Linked DNA regions of Callithrix jacchus. The protein of the gene in region 4 purifies or fractionates together with the protein of the main gene of each other region. This does not show direct contact. Links are inferred from orthologs where the notes say so. Each region holds a gene or a part of one and is shown on either strand. Other genes may lie near its edges.

What was found. Proteins that work in one complex are often made in the same cells at the same time.
Region 1: the proteins of STX6 (region 4) and VAMP4 purify together in Homo sapiens (co-immunoprecipitation; 5 studies listed by BioGRID and IntAct, counting the BioPlex papers as one, with this or other methods). This does not show direct contact. The link is inferred for Callithrix jacchus from reciprocal best matches to the Homo sapiens genes STX6 and VAMP4.
Region 2: the proteins of STX6 (region 4) and NSF purify together in Homo sapiens (affinity purification with mass spectrometry; 3 studies listed by BioGRID and IntAct, with this or other methods). This does not show direct contact. The link is inferred for Callithrix jacchus from reciprocal best matches to the Homo sapiens genes STX6 and NSF.
Region 3: the proteins of STX6 (region 4) and VTI1B purify together in Homo sapiens (affinity purification with mass spectrometry; 3 studies listed by BioGRID and IntAct, counting the BioPlex papers as one, with this or other methods). This does not show direct contact. The link is inferred for Callithrix jacchus from reciprocal best matches to the Homo sapiens genes STX6 and VTI1B.

What each region holds. Positions count from the first base shown.
Region 1 is NC_133519.1:30,968,189-30,972,779, reverse strand, and holds the start of VAMP4 (vesicle-associated membrane protein 4), read right to left. Parts: upstream 3,143-4,591; 5' UTR 2,962-3,142; intron 1-2,961. UniProt on the Homo sapiens protein: Involved in the pathway that functions to remove an inhibitor (probably synaptotagmin-4) of calcium-triggered exocytosis during the maturation of secretory granules.
Region 2 is NC_133506.1:86,367,181-86,371,788, forward strand, and holds the start of NSF (vesicle-fusing ATPase), read right to left. Parts: upstream 3,143-4,608; 5' UTR 3,101-3,142; coding exon 3,089-3,100; intron 1-3,088.
Region 3 is NC_133509.1:102,671,225-102,675,867, reverse strand, and holds the start of VTI1B (vesicle transport through interaction with t-SNAREs homolog 1B), read left to right. Parts: upstream 1-1,501; 5' UTR 1,502-1,644; coding exon 1,645-1,759; intron 1,760-4,643. UniProt on the Homo sapiens protein: V-SNARE that mediates vesicle transport pathways through interactions with t-SNAREs on the target membrane. These interactions are proposed to mediate aspects of the specificity of vesicle trafficking and to promote fusion of the lipid bilayers.
Region 4 is NC_133519.1:39,280,773-39,284,752, forward strand, and holds part of STX6 (syntaxin-6), read right to left. Parts: coding exon 3,944-3,980; intron 720-3,943; coding exon 594-719; intron 1-593. UniProt on the Homo sapiens protein: SNARE promoting movement of transport vesicles to target membranes. Targets endosomes to the trans-Golgi network, and may therefore function in retrograde trafficking.

The DNA of each region.
Region 1 (4,591 bases), about 8.3 Mb from region 4:
ATTCTGCAAACTATAATGTCCCATTGATGCTCCATTAAAAGGGGTAAGTTCGGTAATATTGTGATTTATAAAATGTATTTATTTGGTCTTAATCCCCATTTCCTGACATATCCTCGGAATCCCTGCAGTGATGTGTCCTGTGTATGCTAATAAGACGACTGGTAGCTTAGCCCCTAGATATATTCAAGATGGGAGGCTGGTCACAGAAAAACCTAGGCATGATTAGAAGACTGGGACTTTTCAGTCCCACCTGCTAGCCTCCTGGGAAGGGAGGCAGCCTCAAGGTTGAACTGATTTCCAATGGCCAATGATGTAATCGATCATGTCTACTAATGAAGACTCCATAAAACCCAAAAAGGACAGGGTTCAGAGGGCTTCCTGATAACTGAACAAGTAGAGGGTTCCTGGATGGTGGCACACCTGGAGAGGGCATGGAAGCTCTGTACCCCCTGCCCTATGCACCTCTTCAATCTGGCTGTTGATCTCTATTTTTTTGTAATATCCTTTATAATAAACCAGTAAATAAAGTGTTTCTCTGAATTCTGTGAGCCACTCTAGCAAATAAATTGAAGACAAGGAATTTGGGGAACTCTGATTTATAGCCAGTTACTGGAAGCACAGGTAAAAACACCTGGAACTTGTGATGGGCACTCGAGGTGCAGAGGAATGTTGCAAGATTAAGCCCTCAACCTGCAGAATCTGATGCTATCTCTAGGTATAAAGTACCAATTGAATTAGAGGACACCCAGCTGGAGAACCTGATGCAGAATTGCCTACTTGCTCATGAGGAGAAATCTTTTTGGGGTCAGAGGAGTATTCTCTGTTGAGAGAGACTAGGAGAAATTCAGTTTTTCTTTCATCAAAACAACTGGATTAAACAAAGCTAGTTTTCTTTACTACAGAATGACTCAAATCCTCTTACATGCTAAATGCATTGTGACTTTCTAGGAAAATGCTTGCATATGCAACATATTAAAATTTTTTTTAAGAAAAAGTTGTTCTATGCAAATAATGAATTTTCAGTATTTTGGACTAGATGGTAGATGAATACCCAGCAATTAAGGATAGCTCAGAAATACTGAATGTTTTACTATATGCTAGGCACTGTGCTCAGTGATACACATGCATTTTCTTTTAGTCTTTATGATGCTTCTTTGAAGTAGGCACTAAGAAACTAGTAGAAAACTAAAGTTTAGTAACGATAATGTTAGTCACTACACTCATTGAAACGGCAGAGATACAGGCCTAAATCAATCAATGGCAATCCATTATCAGTTTTAATTATTTGTTCAATTAGTTGCCCATCAGGTTTACAGAATTCTGTTCTAGAGAGACTCATTTTCCGGTAACAACCCAATAGTCCTGTTTCCTTGCCCACAAGAAGCAGCATTTAGACCTTTAAATTACGTAAAATTAGACATCAGAAAGAATAACCCCAAAGTCTGGTTTCCTAAACCAAATAAAAGTAATATTTTAAGTTAGCTACTTGTCAAAACAAATGGACACAAACACTCTTCTTTGATAAGAAATGCTTCCAAATCAGAAATTATTCACTTGTAACAAAAAACAAACTCTTGCTGCCTAACAGCTCTTGAGTTCTTGGTTCCACAGTATTTGTCACATACATCTGGCCCTTTTATTCCTCACACTTTGATTTCAGAATAATTCATTTATGCAGAAATGTAACAGAATGCATGGAAAAAACAGATGACAAAGCAAATTACTGAAGAACTTGTGCTTTTAACTATATCTGTATTTAGATTTTAACCCCATGCATAGAGGCTGCCTCAACACCCCAAAGCAAACAACAGGCAGACTTACATAATGCGTTTATGAGACATATAGTAAAACTACAATCTTAAGGATGGGCAAACCTCATATTCAGGTCTCTCAATCCCAAGAAACCATGTCCAACAGATAGAAAACCCATCCGCAAAGCAGTAGACAGATTAATTAGCTACCTTGATGAAATCTGATGTTATTTGCAACTACTGATTATTTATTAGTATCTGATGATACGGGTATCCAACAACTAGTAGAAGTAAATAATGCTCAGAAAGGAGACTAGGATAGAGTCTGCTTAAGATTTCCCCTACAAAAAACATACGTGAATTCAGGTGTTGGTGACTAGGAATACATGTAAATAAGAGAGCCATCATGTACTTCCACATTGAGGACAGACCACCACTATACAATTCACTTACACAGTCACATCACCGTATGCTTCTTATGCATCAGCATATACTTAAACGTTTATGTATGAATTTTTGTAAGCAGTACGTTATTTAGTCAATAGCTTTGAATCTGGGCAGAGGCTCTCCTTTTCCCAGCCTCCATTCCCTTTTTAACTCCTCTTCCTTGTCTGTCATCAGCGTCTTGCTCGATGCAGTTTCATAGAAATAAAGTAACTTGGATGGACACAGACCAAAGATGTTATTAGCAAAACCTGTCAAGTGTAACGATTCACCCCCACCTTCTGGTCATTACAAACACAGCAGGGTTGGCGCTCTTTCTCCCGAGCCCTTTAAATACACAATTCGAAGCAGCTCTGCTCACCCCCCAACACCCAATCTGTCGCACCAGGCCACGTCCCTCGAAGTATCTGCTCCTAACGTTGGCCCTTCCTGCCCCATGGTACTCCCTGGCATTCCTGACTGCCTCCCACTCTTAACAAACCTTCCCCATCCATGGCACTGTTCTCTCCCCATCGCCCCAGAGTACCCCTCAATTCCAATTCTTCTCCCCTCAACTACTCCCCGTCCGCACACCCCTGTCCTCGTCTTCCTTCCTCACGGTACCCCCGGCCCCAGCTTTTTCCCACTCTGGGGTCCCTTCCTAGATCCCCGAGGCCGGCTAACCAGCCCAACTCGGACGTCGAGGGGCGGCGAGGCAGGGGCGTCATCTTCATTTCCTCCCTCCTCACAGCAGCCCCTCCGGCTGGGAACAGGCCAGCGCCAGTACCTGAGGCTCCCGGGGAACTCCCGGCAGCTCTCCCGGGCGGGCGGTGCTGGACGGGCGGGGGAAGGAGTGGGAAGCTGAGGTAAAAAGCTGGGAGTGGGGGGACGGTGGGTGCGGATCCGGCGTCGGCCGCAGCTCCGCAGCAGCGCCTCCGCTCACCGAGCCGATCGGCGCTCGGCGGCCTGGCGCCAGGCGGAGGGGGCGGGTCCAGGGCGCGGAGATAGTCGAGGAAGTCGATTCCGCCGGGCGCTCTTCACCTGGAAGAGCCCTGACCCTCAAGGATTTTAGATGCAGCTCCTCCCTGTGCTTTAGGGGATGAGTGACCACTGGTTCTCCAGGTTCCGGTCGGGATCCGGCGTGCGTGGAGGGCGTTTATGGGAGGGATGGGAAACTCAGAACTGCTCGGGTCGGGGTGCTGGCTGGGGTGATAAGGCGTTTACAAAGAAGGTAGTGCTTTGTGCCAGATCCGTCCCTCGGGCTGACTACGTTGGGTGGCAAGAGGAGGGTGGCTTGCGGCTCGAGGACCTGCTTCTGTTTCGTCTGGGGCCTTTTCTGAAGAAAGAAGTTCTGTTTGATCCCCTGTTTGCAGAATTAGAGCTGGACTTGGAAAGAGATTTTAATGGTTCCTAGGTCAGCCTCCTTTCTTTAGGTAGGAGAAATATCTGGTTCAGAGAGGAGATTGACTTAAAGTTACACAGCTAGTTTAGATAGATAAGGGACGGCGGCTCCGTGTTCTTTTCCCGGTATCCGTTAGTTGTAACCTGAAAGCCTTCAGGTTTCAGGGAAATCGCCCTTGCCTGGCCATTCCGCTGCTCTGCCCATGCTTCCCTCACTCCTTCCTCCTCCGCCCAGTTTGGTATCATATTTAGATCTCCAAGCCCACAGATGCTGGCTACCAAAAACAATTCCTAATTTTGTTTTTCCGTTCTCTTATTTATTATCCATTCCTCCCACGCCCCAGCTGGAGTATTTTACTCATTCAATCATATATCCACTATACATCTTTTAACATTAATACAGTATTTATGGGTCCTTTGTTGATATAGTATTTTAACTGTCTGAAATACCGTGCCAGGCTCTCTCCAAAGACAAAAATAAGGGCGTGTTCAGAAACAAAAGTAGACCAGAAAACAGCAGAAGATCTGAGGACACTAAAGGAAGAAATAGACACCTTCATAAAAAAGTTGCTCTTCGTTTGATGTGTAATTTTATGCAAACATGCACTAACGAATTTGAAAGATGCCATGACTAGGGCAATGATACTCAATGCTAAGTGATTCACTTGGAGTTGAATCACCTGGAAAGCTTTTAAAACCACTGTGGGTGGGGGGGCGGTGGGGAACTACTGGAAAACTTTTTAAATCACCTGGAAAGCTTTTTAAACTACTCAGGTGCCCACGTGCTACCTAGATTCTGATTTAAATGGTCTAAGACTTAGAAACAGCTGTCGGGTTTTCAGTTGAAGGTTCTAAAAAACTTGATGTTAAACTCAGGTGTCTGTGTTTATTGCTCCAGAGCCCGGCTGACTTGGACTGAAACGGCCCACCTAGAATAGAAGCCTCTCAAGGTTTGCATCTCTGTCTGGGCATGACAGTGGGACTACTCCTAGTGACCCAGACATTATTTTTTCTTC
Region 2 (4,608 bases), on a different chromosome or scaffold from region 4:
AATGTCGAGAATGAATTGGAGTGGGGCGGTATGCTCTAAGAAGACTACTTGGGAGGCCGGACACCATGGCTCACATCTGTAATCTCAGCACTTTGGGAGGGTGAGGCTGGTGAATCATCTGAGGTCAGGAGTTCAGGACCAGCCTAGCCTACATGGTGAAAAATACTCTACTAAAAATATAAAAATTAGCTGGGCATGGTGGTAGGCACCTGTAATTCCAGCTACTCAGGAGGCTGAGAGAGAAGAATGGCTTGAACCTAGGAGGTGGAGGCTGCAGTGAGCTGAGATGGCACCATTGCACCCCAGCCTGGGTGACGAGCAAAACTCCGTCTCAAAAAATAAAGAAGACTACTTGGGAGCTTCCTGCAGTAGTCCAGACCAGAGATGATGGTAGTTTGGGAAAAGTAGGTAAAAATGAAGATGTAGAAAGCTGGACAGACTGGAGATTTTTAGGTTAAAATGACAGAACCCATGTGACCAGTCCAGCTAGTCCAATGGTGATTTGGATCTAGTTTAAAGCAATGATTCCCCCAAGCCAGAGTCTTTGGCCCTAATTAAATACATTTATAGGGGGTAGGAGCAGAACTCTGAAAACTTTTACCTGAAGGTAGGGCAGAGGACATGCTAAAAGAAGAGTACAAAGGGTGACCCACCCTCTCCCTCCCCCAGATTCCCAGCTTATATAACTGGATGGATGATGGTATCATTTAGTGAGCTATTCCTATCTCACTGGATAGATGCAGATGATCCCTGACTTACAATGGTTTGACTTAACATGGTTTTTCAACTTTATAATCGGGCGAAGGTGATGGGTTTTTGAGGACCTACACAACCATTCTGCTTTTCACTATCAGCACAGCAATAAATGACATGAGGTATCCAACATTTTATAATATAGGTTTATGTAAGATGATTTTGCCCAAGTGTAGGCTAATGTAAGTGTTCTGGGCATGTGTAAAGAAAGTAGGATAGGCTAAGCTACGATATTAGGTAAATCAGGTGTAGTAAATGCATTTTCACCTTCTGATACTTTCAGCGTACAGTGGGTTTATTGGAAGGTAGCTCCATCGTTAAGTCGAGGAGCATCTGCACAACTTAGGTGGGCTAAGATCCTGAGTTCAGGGTTGGACAAGCTGAGTTTCAGGGGCTTTGATTTTATTTTTGTTTATTATTATCATTATTATTTTGAGACAGAGTCTCGCTCTGTCACCCAGGCTGGAGTGCAGTGGCGCGATCTTGGCTCACTGAAACCTTCACCGCCCTGGTTCAAGCAATGCCCCTGCCTCAGCCTCCCTAGTGGCTGGGATTACAGGCACATGCCACCACGCCCAGCTAATTTTTTTGTACTTTTAGTAGAGATGGGGTTTCACCATGTTGGCCAGACTGGTCTCGGACTTCTGACCTCAGGTGATCCACCCACCTCGGCCTCTAAAGTGCTGGGATTACAGGTGTGAGCCACTGCACCCAGTCCAGGGGGCTGGATTTTAAATAGGCAGTTGGACGTATTAACCTGGAACTTAAAGGGCATATCTGGACTGGGGGTAAAATATTGAGAATCACTAGCATATAGACAATTGTAGCTATGGGCTTAGAAGAAATTGAGCAGAAAATTGAGAGAAGATGGCCTTTGAGGAAATACCAGCAATGGATAACAAAGTAGAGGAGGGTGAGTCTGCAAAAGAGAGGTCAGAGTCAAACCAGGAGTGAGGCATCCCAGAAGACATGGGAAGAGTGCTTTCTGTCAAGGAGACCATGGTCAGCAACGTCAAACGCTGCTGAGACATCAAGTAAGACAAGGATTGAAAATTATCAAGTTGAAGGATAGGCTTCAGTGCGATGATGGGGCAGAAATCAGACTGCAGTAGGTTGAGGGGTGAGTAGGTGGTAAGCAAATGGAAGACAACAGACAACTCTATCAAATTTCCTGCTGTAAAGCGGTAAGGGAAAAGGTGACAGCTGTAGGGGTGGGGGAAGGGTTTGTTTTAAGATAGAGAAGCTTGATTATGTTAAGAAGGAGCAGGTGAATATACAGCTAGAGTCTGAAGTATTGGAAGGATTAGCCTTAAAAGGAGGCTACAGGGGAAAGGAAGCAAAAGAAGCCAAGCTAAATGACCTTTCTTTTAGGTCCCTTCTGACTCTAGGATCTCATGACCTACAAGTTCCTTTAGATAGGGCATTTGCATATACGCATAAATCTACGCAAACTTATTCAAATATTCTGGCATAAACGGATCAGTCAAGCACATCTTTCGCCCCCCAGTGACGCAGTTAATGTCCTCAGTTTTATGACCAGTGTAATCTCTGGGCAGGACTCATGCCTTGACAGCTTTTTAGCTCAAGGCAAACTGCAATACAGCACTCACCAGCTCTATCCCTCCTAGCCAAACCCATCCTACCCAGGAATCCTAAAGGCTAAATGAGGAAGTAAATGTAAAACCCTGAAACTACAGCATATCCTGCTGCATTCGAAGCGACCGTCATTCATAAAAACAAAACGTGACACCCCAAATCCATCCTCGCGCCAAGCTAAAGCCAATTCCTGCCTGACCCGACAGTTGACAGGTCCCCCAATGGCCGGGCTTTAACACTAAAAGTCATTGGCACCCCCTTCCTCTTTCCCAACAACCTTTTATTTGTGAAGAGCCAAACACCAGTTCCTGATTATCTTTCCCACACCCCTCGTCCCGAATGCAGCAGACGTGTTCCCCGCAGTTACTCCGGCGCCCCCTAAAAAGCCCTCGCAATGGGGTGCGGAGAGACCCCCAGAGCCCGTCAGAAGAGGCTTCGGCGACCGCGACCCTGGGGCTGTGTGGAGGACGAGGGAAACAAGCTCCAAGGGATGGGAAGGGAGGATGAAGGGAGGCGCAGCAGACGCGGGTAATGAGGGGGTCATCTCCCCTCGAGGGGGGTGGAGTTGTTGAGGAGGGCTAATCCCCTTCTACCGCTCCCCTGCTCCCCTCAAGCCCTGCCCTGGCCGCTCGCCCCATTGCTAGAATTCACACTCCCTCCCCTGGGGCTGCCCGGACCCCGGAGTGCCCGCGAGCCCGGCGCCCCTGCCTCGAGCCTGGGCTCCCTGACCGGCACTCACCCGGCCCGCCATCTTCGCCAACACGTCCGGCTCGGCGGCTGCAGCCCAGCACTCAGCAGAACCCGCCCCCGCCGCGCGCGCGTCCCCGCCGCCCGCCCTCGCGCAGGCGCGCACGTCCCCGGCCGCGTCCCCGGCGTCCTCGCTCCACAGGGCGCGCGCGGGCTGGGTGGCCGCCGGGGGCGCGCGGGGCGGGCAGAGCGGCGGCGCCATTTTGGCTGGAGCTTCCTGCTTCCTGTCGGCTGCAGGGACAGTTTTCGGCGGGTGACTTTGTTTTCAGCTTGGACATCCGTCCGCCGCGCGGTCGAAGGCCGCTCCCCTGAGTCTCATCCCTCCTGGCCGTTCGCGCCGGAATTTGTCGCAAGGGCTTTGATGTTTCCATTCACTTATCCCTTTGCCAGGTGCTGTTCGCCCCCGAATGACCATTTTGCTCTGTGCTTCCAGACTCACTTAAACGTGGTCTGGCCGGTGAGAGCGCCCGGTGCGGTCCCTGGCTTCCCCCGGAAACGATCAGCTCCGTGGAGTTGGTTCTGGATTCAAATTCTCCATGAATTCAGACTTTTCTTTGTAGGCGTACTTGTTTTCAACCTGGGATTTTCATCGTTGGCAGTTTTATGTGTAACCTGGAAAACTCAATATATTTTTCAGATTTGAAAGTGAATTGTGATTGTTTTTATACATTATTTTATTTTTATTATTAAGTATTTGCCTTTATAAATAAAAGGCAATGAGTATCTTCCACAACTTTTTCCCCAGCTTTATTTCGTTTTAGAAAATATATATGGTAGAATTTGAATAAAATATGCCCTAAATTCAGCTTTGTTGAACCTTGATGTTGCCACCATACCATTTCTCCACTGGAATCTCGGAGTATCTGATTTCGAGCACCCTGGGAGGAGAAAGATTCTGCCAAATGGATTCCCTAGTGCCTTTATTGACCCCACTTAAATTTCTCGCTTCATATTTGCACAAGACAATAGAGAATTATAGGATTTGTTAGCTTTCATTTCTCACAGTTAAATAGAATAAATCGGATTTTTCCCCCAACATGAGGAAAGAAGGGAAATGAGAAGCTGAGCATGCGTAGTGATTTAAATTTGAGAACTATTAAAATCAGAGAGTGATCTGAAGATGAACTAGGGACAGAAGAAAAATTCACGCCAATTTCATTAAGTCTCACACTGAACTTGAGGACCAGGGTGTTTCATTGATCAAATCAGATGTTAGTTAAATCTTGTGTGGATCAGGAAAGGTAGGAAACTAGTGAGTTCTGATCTACTAACTTGCAGAAGCTGTAAAAACAAGTGTTAGAATGGCTTGGGAAATCCAAAGGGTTGGGTTATTTTCTTTGTCCCTATCTGCCCTCACCTGTATAGCTTCATCTCTCTGAGCCCAGTTTCCTTATTTGCTTTTGTTTGTTTTTGAGAAGGAGTCGTGCTCTGTCACCCAGGCTGGAGTACAGTGGTGTGATCTCGGTTCACTGCAACCTCCACCTCCTGGGTTCCAGCAATTCTCCTGCCTCA
Region 3 (4,643 bases), on a different chromosome or scaffold from region 4:
AACCTCCGTCTCCAGGGTTCAGGCGATTCTCTTGCCTCAGCGTCCCGAGTCACTGGGATTACAGGTGCTCACCACCACGGTCGGCTAATTTTTGCATTAGCAGAGACGGGTTTCATCATGTTGGCCAGGCTGGTCTCAAACTCCTGACCTCAAATGATTCGCCCACCTTGGCCTCCCAAATTGCTGGGATTATAGGCGTGAGCCACCACTCCCGACCTTAAGATAGGAATTTATACCCAGAGAGTGCAGGAAAGGACCTTGTAATTGTTAACACGTGACACAGTGGCAGATGGGACCTAATGAAGCCAGGTCCACCTTCCACACCAGGTTATCAATTCCCCAAGAGCAGAGAATAAATGTTTTATTCACCAACATGCCCAGATCTCTCACAGTGCCTATGCAGGACAAACACCTGTTGTGAAAAAGTGCACGAGGCAACCTAGTGCACTAGGCAGGCCTGACAGCTAGAGTATTTTGCATGTGCCCCCTACTTCTGTACGGTGACAAGTCCTAGCATTGTGTTGTGGGACTTACACAGTACATTGACGGTAACCTCAGACTTGGTCATCTCTGTGTTAGTATTTCATCCTAACCGGGTTTCTGTTTTGAATTTTTGTTTTTTGGAGACAAGGTCTCCCTCTGCCTCCCAAGCTGGAGTGCAGTGGTGGGATTTCTGCAGACAACCTTCTGGGCTCAAGTGATCCTTCTGCTTCAGCCTCTGGGGTAGCTGGGGCCAAAAGTGCGCGCCACCACGCCCGACTCCTATTTTGGGTTTCTGGTAGACCTTTCACTATTGTGCCCAGGCTGGTCTCGAACTCTTGGGTTCAAACAATCTTCCCACCTCGGCCTTCCAAAGTGCTGGGATTACAGGCGCGAGCCACTCACCCGGCTGGGTTCCACTTCTGAAAGCGTGGGGAGCCGCTGGGCCTCCCAAGGAAAGTGCTCCACCTCCCGATGGCAAGCACAGCCCCCGGCCCAGCTATCTTTCCAGGGCTGAAAAGCTAACATTCAGTCAAAACGCGAAATGATGAAGTCGGGTCAGGATGCCAAAGCAAAGCGCGATGACAGTGAGGACGACGTCTAGACACAAACACACACCAAACCACCTCGCTACCGGGCCGGAGTCCACTGCCGCGGCGAGAGCTGAAACTCGCGGCCGGGACAACGCGCGACCCCGGGACGGGATGCTCTCGGAGCCAAACTACATCCCCCGGCGTGCACTGCAGCGCCCGCCCCCTCACCCGCCGAGGGGACCCGGGAAGAAGGCGGCCGAGCTGCCCGTCTCGCAGGTCCCCTAGGGCTCTTTCGCAGCGGCGCCTTTGCCCACCCTGGACCGGGCACTTCTCGGACTCCGCGACTGCTGCTCGCCCCGGCGCGGCACCGCTGCCTCAGGAGTCGCCTGGGGCGCGCAGTTGCCTGACTTCCTGTCAGGCTTTCACGCCGGCGCTCCCGCAATCACGGGCTGGAGAGGGTGGGCGTTCCGGCTCCGGAGGACCCTGCCGTGGCCCCGGAAGAACCTCGTCCTGGGCGGCTGTGGCGCGGCGGTCGCCGTGATGGCCTCGGGGCTGGGCGGCTGACCGCCGGGCTAGGAGAAGGCACAGCGCCCCGAATCTCAGTGGCCGCTGTTCGAGCGCGGCCTGCGCCATGGCCACCTCCGCCGCCTCCTCGGAGCATTTCGAGAAGCTGCACGAGATCTTCCGCGGCCTCCATGAAGACCTGCAAGGGGTGCCCGAGCGGCTGCTGGGGACGGCGGGGACCGGTGAGGCCGGGGCGGGGGGGTCACGCCGTGGAGGGGTCACGCCGTGGGGAGCTCGGCCCCGCGCGCTTCGGCAGGAAGATTCCCCCACCTTCCTCCCAGCCCCGGGCCCGCGTCTCCTCGCTCCGCGTCCGCGGACACGCCCCCTACGACTGGCTGGGTTCCAGCCCCAGGTCTCCCTGCTGCCACTGAGAGTGAACTGGGGACGTTGCCCCGGGACGGACGTCGGGGTTCAGTTCCCTGGGATCCTTCCATGGCCTTCCACATTTTCTCGTCTCTTTTTTCACTGCGGCAAACAGAGCAGAGCAGTGGGGCTTTTGTATCTGCGGTCTTGTGGTAGAATGGGTTTCTTTCGTAGCTGTTTTTTGTTTCTTTTATGCATTTGAAAGTATTAGTTTCAAGACAGGTCTAGTTTTCACTAGACTGTCAGAGGATCTATGGCACAAAAAAAGGGTTAAAAACCCAAAGGAATCATAATTTGGGGGTGTTGGTAAATACCAGTTACTTACCAACAAGGGGACATTTAAAACCCAATTGTGACATTTAGATGTGGCCTTGTTTTGAACATTTTATACCGCTGAGACTATTTACTACCCCTTAATTTCATGAAGCAGGTTGCTACGAGTTCTGTCTGGAGGAGCTAGCGTTTTTCGGCCCTAAATCCTTAGGAAGACCTACTGTAGTTCTTGGCCTCCGAACATATAGAACTTGATGTCAAGGATAAGACTTTGAAGTTTGAAGTTTTACTGCTTTTACTTAAGGGTCAGAGTTTGGTTGTTTGCTCAACGAATTAATCAAGGTCATAGGAATTGAATGACTGTGGTGAGAATGAAATTCACGTGTTTAACATATATTTATTATGAAGCTGCTTTGTGCCAGGCACTGTTCTAGGTGCTGGTTAGTATTGCAAATTACAGTGAAAAAGACATGCACATCCCCATTCTGGCAGGTAGGTGATAAACAATATGTAATTATTAAGAGGCAGTGTTAAAGTATACAGGAAAATAAATCAGGATAAAGGAATAGGGGTGGGACTTCAGTTTTATGTTGTTATTATTTATTTATTTTTTGAGAGAGGGTCTCACTCTGTCACCCAGGCTAGAGTGCAGTGGCACGATAGCTCACTGCAACCTCCACTTTCCAGATTCAAGTGATTCTCCTGCTTCAACCTCCAGAATAGCTGGGATTACAAGCATGCCACCACCCCTGGCTAATTTGTGTGTGTGTGTGTTTTTTGTGGAGACAGGGTGTCACTGTGTTGGCCAGGCTGGTCTCTAACTCCTGACCTCAAGTGATCTGCCTTCCCTTGCAGATTTAAATAGGGTGGTTGTGAAAGTCCTCTCTGGGGAAATGGCATTTGAACAGAGACTTGAACGAAGTGAGAGAGTAAACCAGAAATCTGGAAGAAGTGACTGTCGGAAGGGGAGAATAACACAGCAAAGGCCCTTAAGCAGAAGTGAGCTTGGTGTGTTCAGAGAAGAGCAAGAGGTTCCATGTGCTTGGGAATGGGGTGAGCAAGGGAGAGAGGTAGGCAGGACCAGATCATGTAGGGCCTGTGGTCCATGGTGAAAGACTTTTCCTAAATATGATGGGATGTGGTTAAAAGGCATTGTGCAGGCTGGACGTGCCAGCTCATGACTGTAATCTCAGCTCTTTGGGAGGCTGAGACGGGTGGATCACTTGAGGTCAGGAGTTCGAGACCAGCCTGGCCAACATGGTGAAACCCCATCTTTACTAAAAATAGAAAAATTAGCCAGACATGATGGCAGTTGCCTGTAATCCCAGCTACTCCAGAGGTTGATGGGGGGAGAATCACTTGAACCCAGGAGGCGGAGGTGGCAGTGAGCCAAGATTGTGTCATTGCACTCCAGCCTGGGAGAGAGAGAGAGGCCACGTCCTGGAAAAAAAAAAAAAAAAAGAAAAAAAAATGTATTGTGTAGAACCATGGTGGGATCTGATTTATGTGATTGAAAAGTGGGCTGCAGGCTGGGTGCAGTGGCTCACACCAGTAATCCCAGCATTTGGGGAAGCCAAGGCAGGCAGATCACTTGAGGTCAGAAGTTCAGGACCAGCCTGGCCAACATAGTGAAACCTTATCTGTACTAAAAATACAAAAATTAGCTGTGCATGGTGTCACCTGCCTGTAGGCCCAGCTACTCGGGAGACTGAGGCAGGAGAATCACTTGAACTCAGGAGACAGAGTTGCAGTGAACTGAAGAAAAGAGTAAAAAAAAAGAAAAGTAGATTGCAGTCGAGGAGTGGTGGCTCACACCTGTAATCCCAGCCCTTTGGGAAGCTGAGGCAGGAATACTGATGTGTTGAGGAATTTTGAGACCAGCCTGGGCAACATGGTGAAACCCCATCTCAACAAAAAATACAATAGTTAGCCCGGCTTGGTGGTGGGTGCCTGTAGTCCCAGCTCCTGGGGAGTCTGACGTGGGAGGATCGCCTGGGCCCTGAAGCTAGTGGTTGCAGTGAGCCAAGATGCCACCACTGCACTCCAGCCTGGGTGACAGAGCAAAAATAGAAAATTGAATTCATTATTACTATAGTTTGAATGTCTCTCTAAAACTTATGTTGAAATTTATTTGCCATTTTAATTTTATTAAGAGGTAGGACTTGTAAGAAATAATTAGACCATGAGGACTCTGTCCTCATGGATTGGATTAGTGTTATCCTGAGAGTGGGTTGGTTGTTGAGGGAGTGGGTTAGTTCCACCCTCTCTTGCTTGCCTGCCATCTTGATCTGTTGCCCTTTTACTTTCTGCCACGGGCTGACCCATGGGCATCAAGAAGGCCCTTGAAAGAAACAGGCCCCTCAGCCTTGGGCTTCCCAGCCTCCAGAACTCTGAGAAATACATTTCTTTTCTTTATAAATTACCCAGACT
Region 4 (3,980 bases):
CTGCAACCTCCACCTCCCAAGTTCCAGCGATTCCCCTGCCTCAGCCTCCCAAGTAGCTGGGACTACAGGCGTGCACCACCACAACTAATTTTTTTTAATTTTAGTAGAGACGGGGTTTCACTGTGTTGGCCAGGATGGTATCGATCTCCTGATCTCGTAATCTGCCTGCCTTGGCCTCCCAAAGTGCTGGGATTACAGGTGTCAGCCACCTCACCAGGCCACTTGATTCTTTGCTTTTAGAAACAGGGTCTTGCTCTGTCATCCAGGCTAAAGTGCAAAGGCACAATCAAAGTTCACTGTAGCCTTGAACTCCTGGGCTAAGGGATCCTCTGGCCTCAGCCTCCTGAGTAGCTGGGACTAAAGGTATAAACCACCATGCCTGGCTGAGCTTGGTTCTCTTGAAGCAGTCATGCTGTGAAGATTGAAACTCTTTATGCATGCAATCATTAAATATTTAAACATAATAAACCACAGGACAAGCTCTGGCTTACCCCGCTTGTCATTAAGCCATGAGACCCCATGGCTGGCAAAGGAACTAAGGTGTGTTTATTTTTTCCCACTGCCCCATCCTAAGCCTGGGCCCCTTGGGGTACCTGCTGCTGTGCCTGCTGCTCCTCAATGAAATGAGAATTGGCTCGCTGGAGCTCTCTGTCCAGGCGCCCGTATTTATCTGTTGTTCCAGTGCTCCAGTTCTGGCTGCCACTGTCTCCCAGCAGTGCCTGTGTGAGCAGGACAACCGGAGGAGTCAGGAGAAACAAACGGTTACTATCTCTGAACAAGTGAAGCATCGAGAGTGATATAAAGGGTTTTCACATTTCTTATCATCTATTTTCCCCTGGGCCAGGCTTTTATCTAGTGGTGTAGTCTGGTGCCTGTGTGGTACAATTTAAGGAATTCCAGAAGGGCCCTCTCTGTGTTCAAGCTCTCCCAACAGGCCTCACAATGGGCTTTGTCCCCTTAAAGTGCAAATAAATGCCTGCTAAATCAGCAAACGCCCATCTAGATACTGTGTTATAACTGAAAAGCACTCAATCTTTTGTCAAAGAGCTCTTCCTGGCACCTGTGGAACTTCAGCAACCCATAGGTTCCAGTCAACCTGATTCCAAAGATCTAAAGTACTTTTTTAAGAAAAGTGTGACCCAGGGAAGTTTTGGGGTTTTTGGTGGGGGGAAAAGGAGAGGTCCCTCAAACTACAAGCAGGTAAGCCATAGTCCTTCACACACAAAAGGCTTAAGAACCATCAATGTCTGTAAAGTTTAACCCATGAATAGAATCCAGGGTCCTTCAGGCTTTCCAGATGACAACTGGGGTTCCTTCACCAGGCAGGTGTGACCACAAGGAATCCCTGACCTTGGCAACCTAGGCAAGGGCTGCCCTAAAGTCAGTCTTCCACCACGGCTCCCAGACAACAGGGCTGGGTTTCTGAAGTACGAATTCAGGGAAGTCTGCAGCCATAAATGGGTAAGGTTGGGTATGTCTTCCTCACATGAAGAGGCCAGGCCGGAATGTGAGAGCTCAGTCTCCACAGTTGGTTCTGACCAGATTCCCACAAGCCTTTCTGACAGGTCAAAGTAACTGCTCACACCAGCCGTGCGCCAAGAGCCAGAAGACGCCAGCAACTAAGACTTTTTTTCTTGTTGAGTTGCCATTTCCTACTAGGTAATTAAAAAAAAAATCTCTGGCACTATTAAAAGCCTGACTGTTTACTTGGTTCTATCTGAAACCCTTCTAACAGCCTCATGATCTTCCTTCATAGTGGCACTGACTTATTCCAGACTGCAAGGGGTGAGCTCCATCAAATGGCCAGACTTCAGGGACAATCAGGGCAGCTCGGGATGCAGTGTGCTATGTTCTGAGGTTGTTATTAGCAGAGTTTCTAAGAGGCTCAGTTATTAGAAGCTCTTCTTACAAGAGCTTCCAGTGGCCCAGGGCAGTCCAGTCAAGAGGCTAGATGGTGACTGTCTCTGGTGTAAAGCAGATCCAAGGGTTTTTGTGGGTGGCTCTGCCCTGACCTGGTCTTAGGGCTGTCAACACTGAAAAGATCCTGCTCATTCTGATCCAGACTCTAAGGACCTCTATGGAAGACATGAGGAACTAGTGACAATTTTTTTAGGGTCAGAAAAAGGCTGTAATGCCTAAGGACAGTGAACTGGGACATCACCAGGGCCTTATGTGCTCCTGAGGTCACAGGGCTATTTTGCCTACATTTTCCATGGTCTACACTTAGGCAGAGCTAAGTATAGGGCAAATCATCCACATTTTATTGTAAAGGTGCTTAAAGTTCATTGGTCTGACCCCAGAGGTCTAATAGGAAAGAGATTGAGAGAGGAGCCAAGCGCTGGGAGATGCACCTGTGCGTGGGTGCCAAAGCAGGGTTGGTGGAGGGAGCAGCACAATACCTGGTGCCTGGCATGACACAGCAAGGCCCAGGCCTGCAGGAGGCTTAGAAAGCCCTGGCCTTGCCATTCCTTAAACATTTGCAACTTGACATTTCGCTCATGGCCTAAAACCAAATTCCAGGCCACACTTGGACAGGCAATACATATGCCCATGTTATCCACATTAGCCCATACTAATGTGGATAGTAGCCTATACTATCTAGAGAATAAAACATTCAAGTTAGAGTGGCAGCATAGGTGTTACCAACTTCACTGCCACAACTACTTCAGGTACTTCCACTTCCTATAAGGTCAAGTGCAAATGAGAAGAGAACTCCAAAACTAGCCAACTTGAGGCCATTCACTAGCTTCTTTCAAGAGAGGGAGCCAGACGGAATGAACCAGCTAGTGGCTCTTCCTAGCTGTACTGATCAAAAAGAAAGCAAAGGAGGCAAATAAGATTAAAAAGCCAAAAACAAAACAATGACTTGAAAAATGGAATGCAAGAAAAGCAAACAGAAAAATTAAGTGAGGTGATATTTATAGAACCCTCCCCCTTCTTCAAGCTTTCATATTTGTTTTCAAAATGAAGTGGCTTGACAAACACCCACAGGTATAAAGTAAGGATTTATGTTATAAAGTACTGATTGCTAGTTAAGTAAAAATAGCAAGATTTCTCAAGAGCCTACTATACGGACAATTCGTAACTTTCTGGAATCATAATTCATTTAAAACAAACTATCATTTTTCATGATACTATTTACTGTTTACTCCTAAGAAAAATGGATATCCACAGAATTTTAAAAAACTACTTCCATAAAAAAATCACCTAACAGTTTAGCAACAGGCAAAAAACATTCTATCCCACCAAAAAAGTCTAAATCAAATTTCAATCTAAATTAAAGTCCAAATTCTAGATGACCATTCTACATTTTTTTAAAGAACTATATTTTAACAATTAGAAAGCAGTTTCTATAAATATGCCAAAGTATGTAATTTTAAAAAACTACTTAAAGAGAAATTTAAGACACAAGTTTAAGGTTCCTCTAATGTCTTTACATCAAATGTCAATCCATAGATGTCTATTGTGTTCCATGGGTAGGCAATGTAGTAACTACTAGAGAGCTCAAAAAAAAAACCCAACAACTAAAAACCAAGACACAGATCTCTCCTCACTCTCAAGGGGCCTGGGGCCCAGCAGAGAGAAAGACAGTAAGTAATTATAGCCCTTAAAAGAGCCTAGCACACAGAACGTGCTCAACAGGTGCAGAATAAACACATGAAAACAGTAAAAGTACTCTGACAAGTGCCATAGTAAGGGTAGGCAAAAGGTGCTATGGGAGCCCACAGGAAAGAATCAGAAGGTGAGAGAGGGGAGGGAAACGCTGACAGGGTACAGGGACAGCTGCCTGGACTGTCACAAAACCTCCCATGGTCACACCAGGGCCTGCATGCAGAGGTCTTCCTCTTGATTACATGATCCATGGATGGTCAGCATTTTTAAATTTCAAATATCTAACTGTATACTTTCTCTCACTGATAATTATATTCTGGTGTTTTCTCACCTGTCTATTTTTTCTTTCAGCTAATGCCTGCACGGAA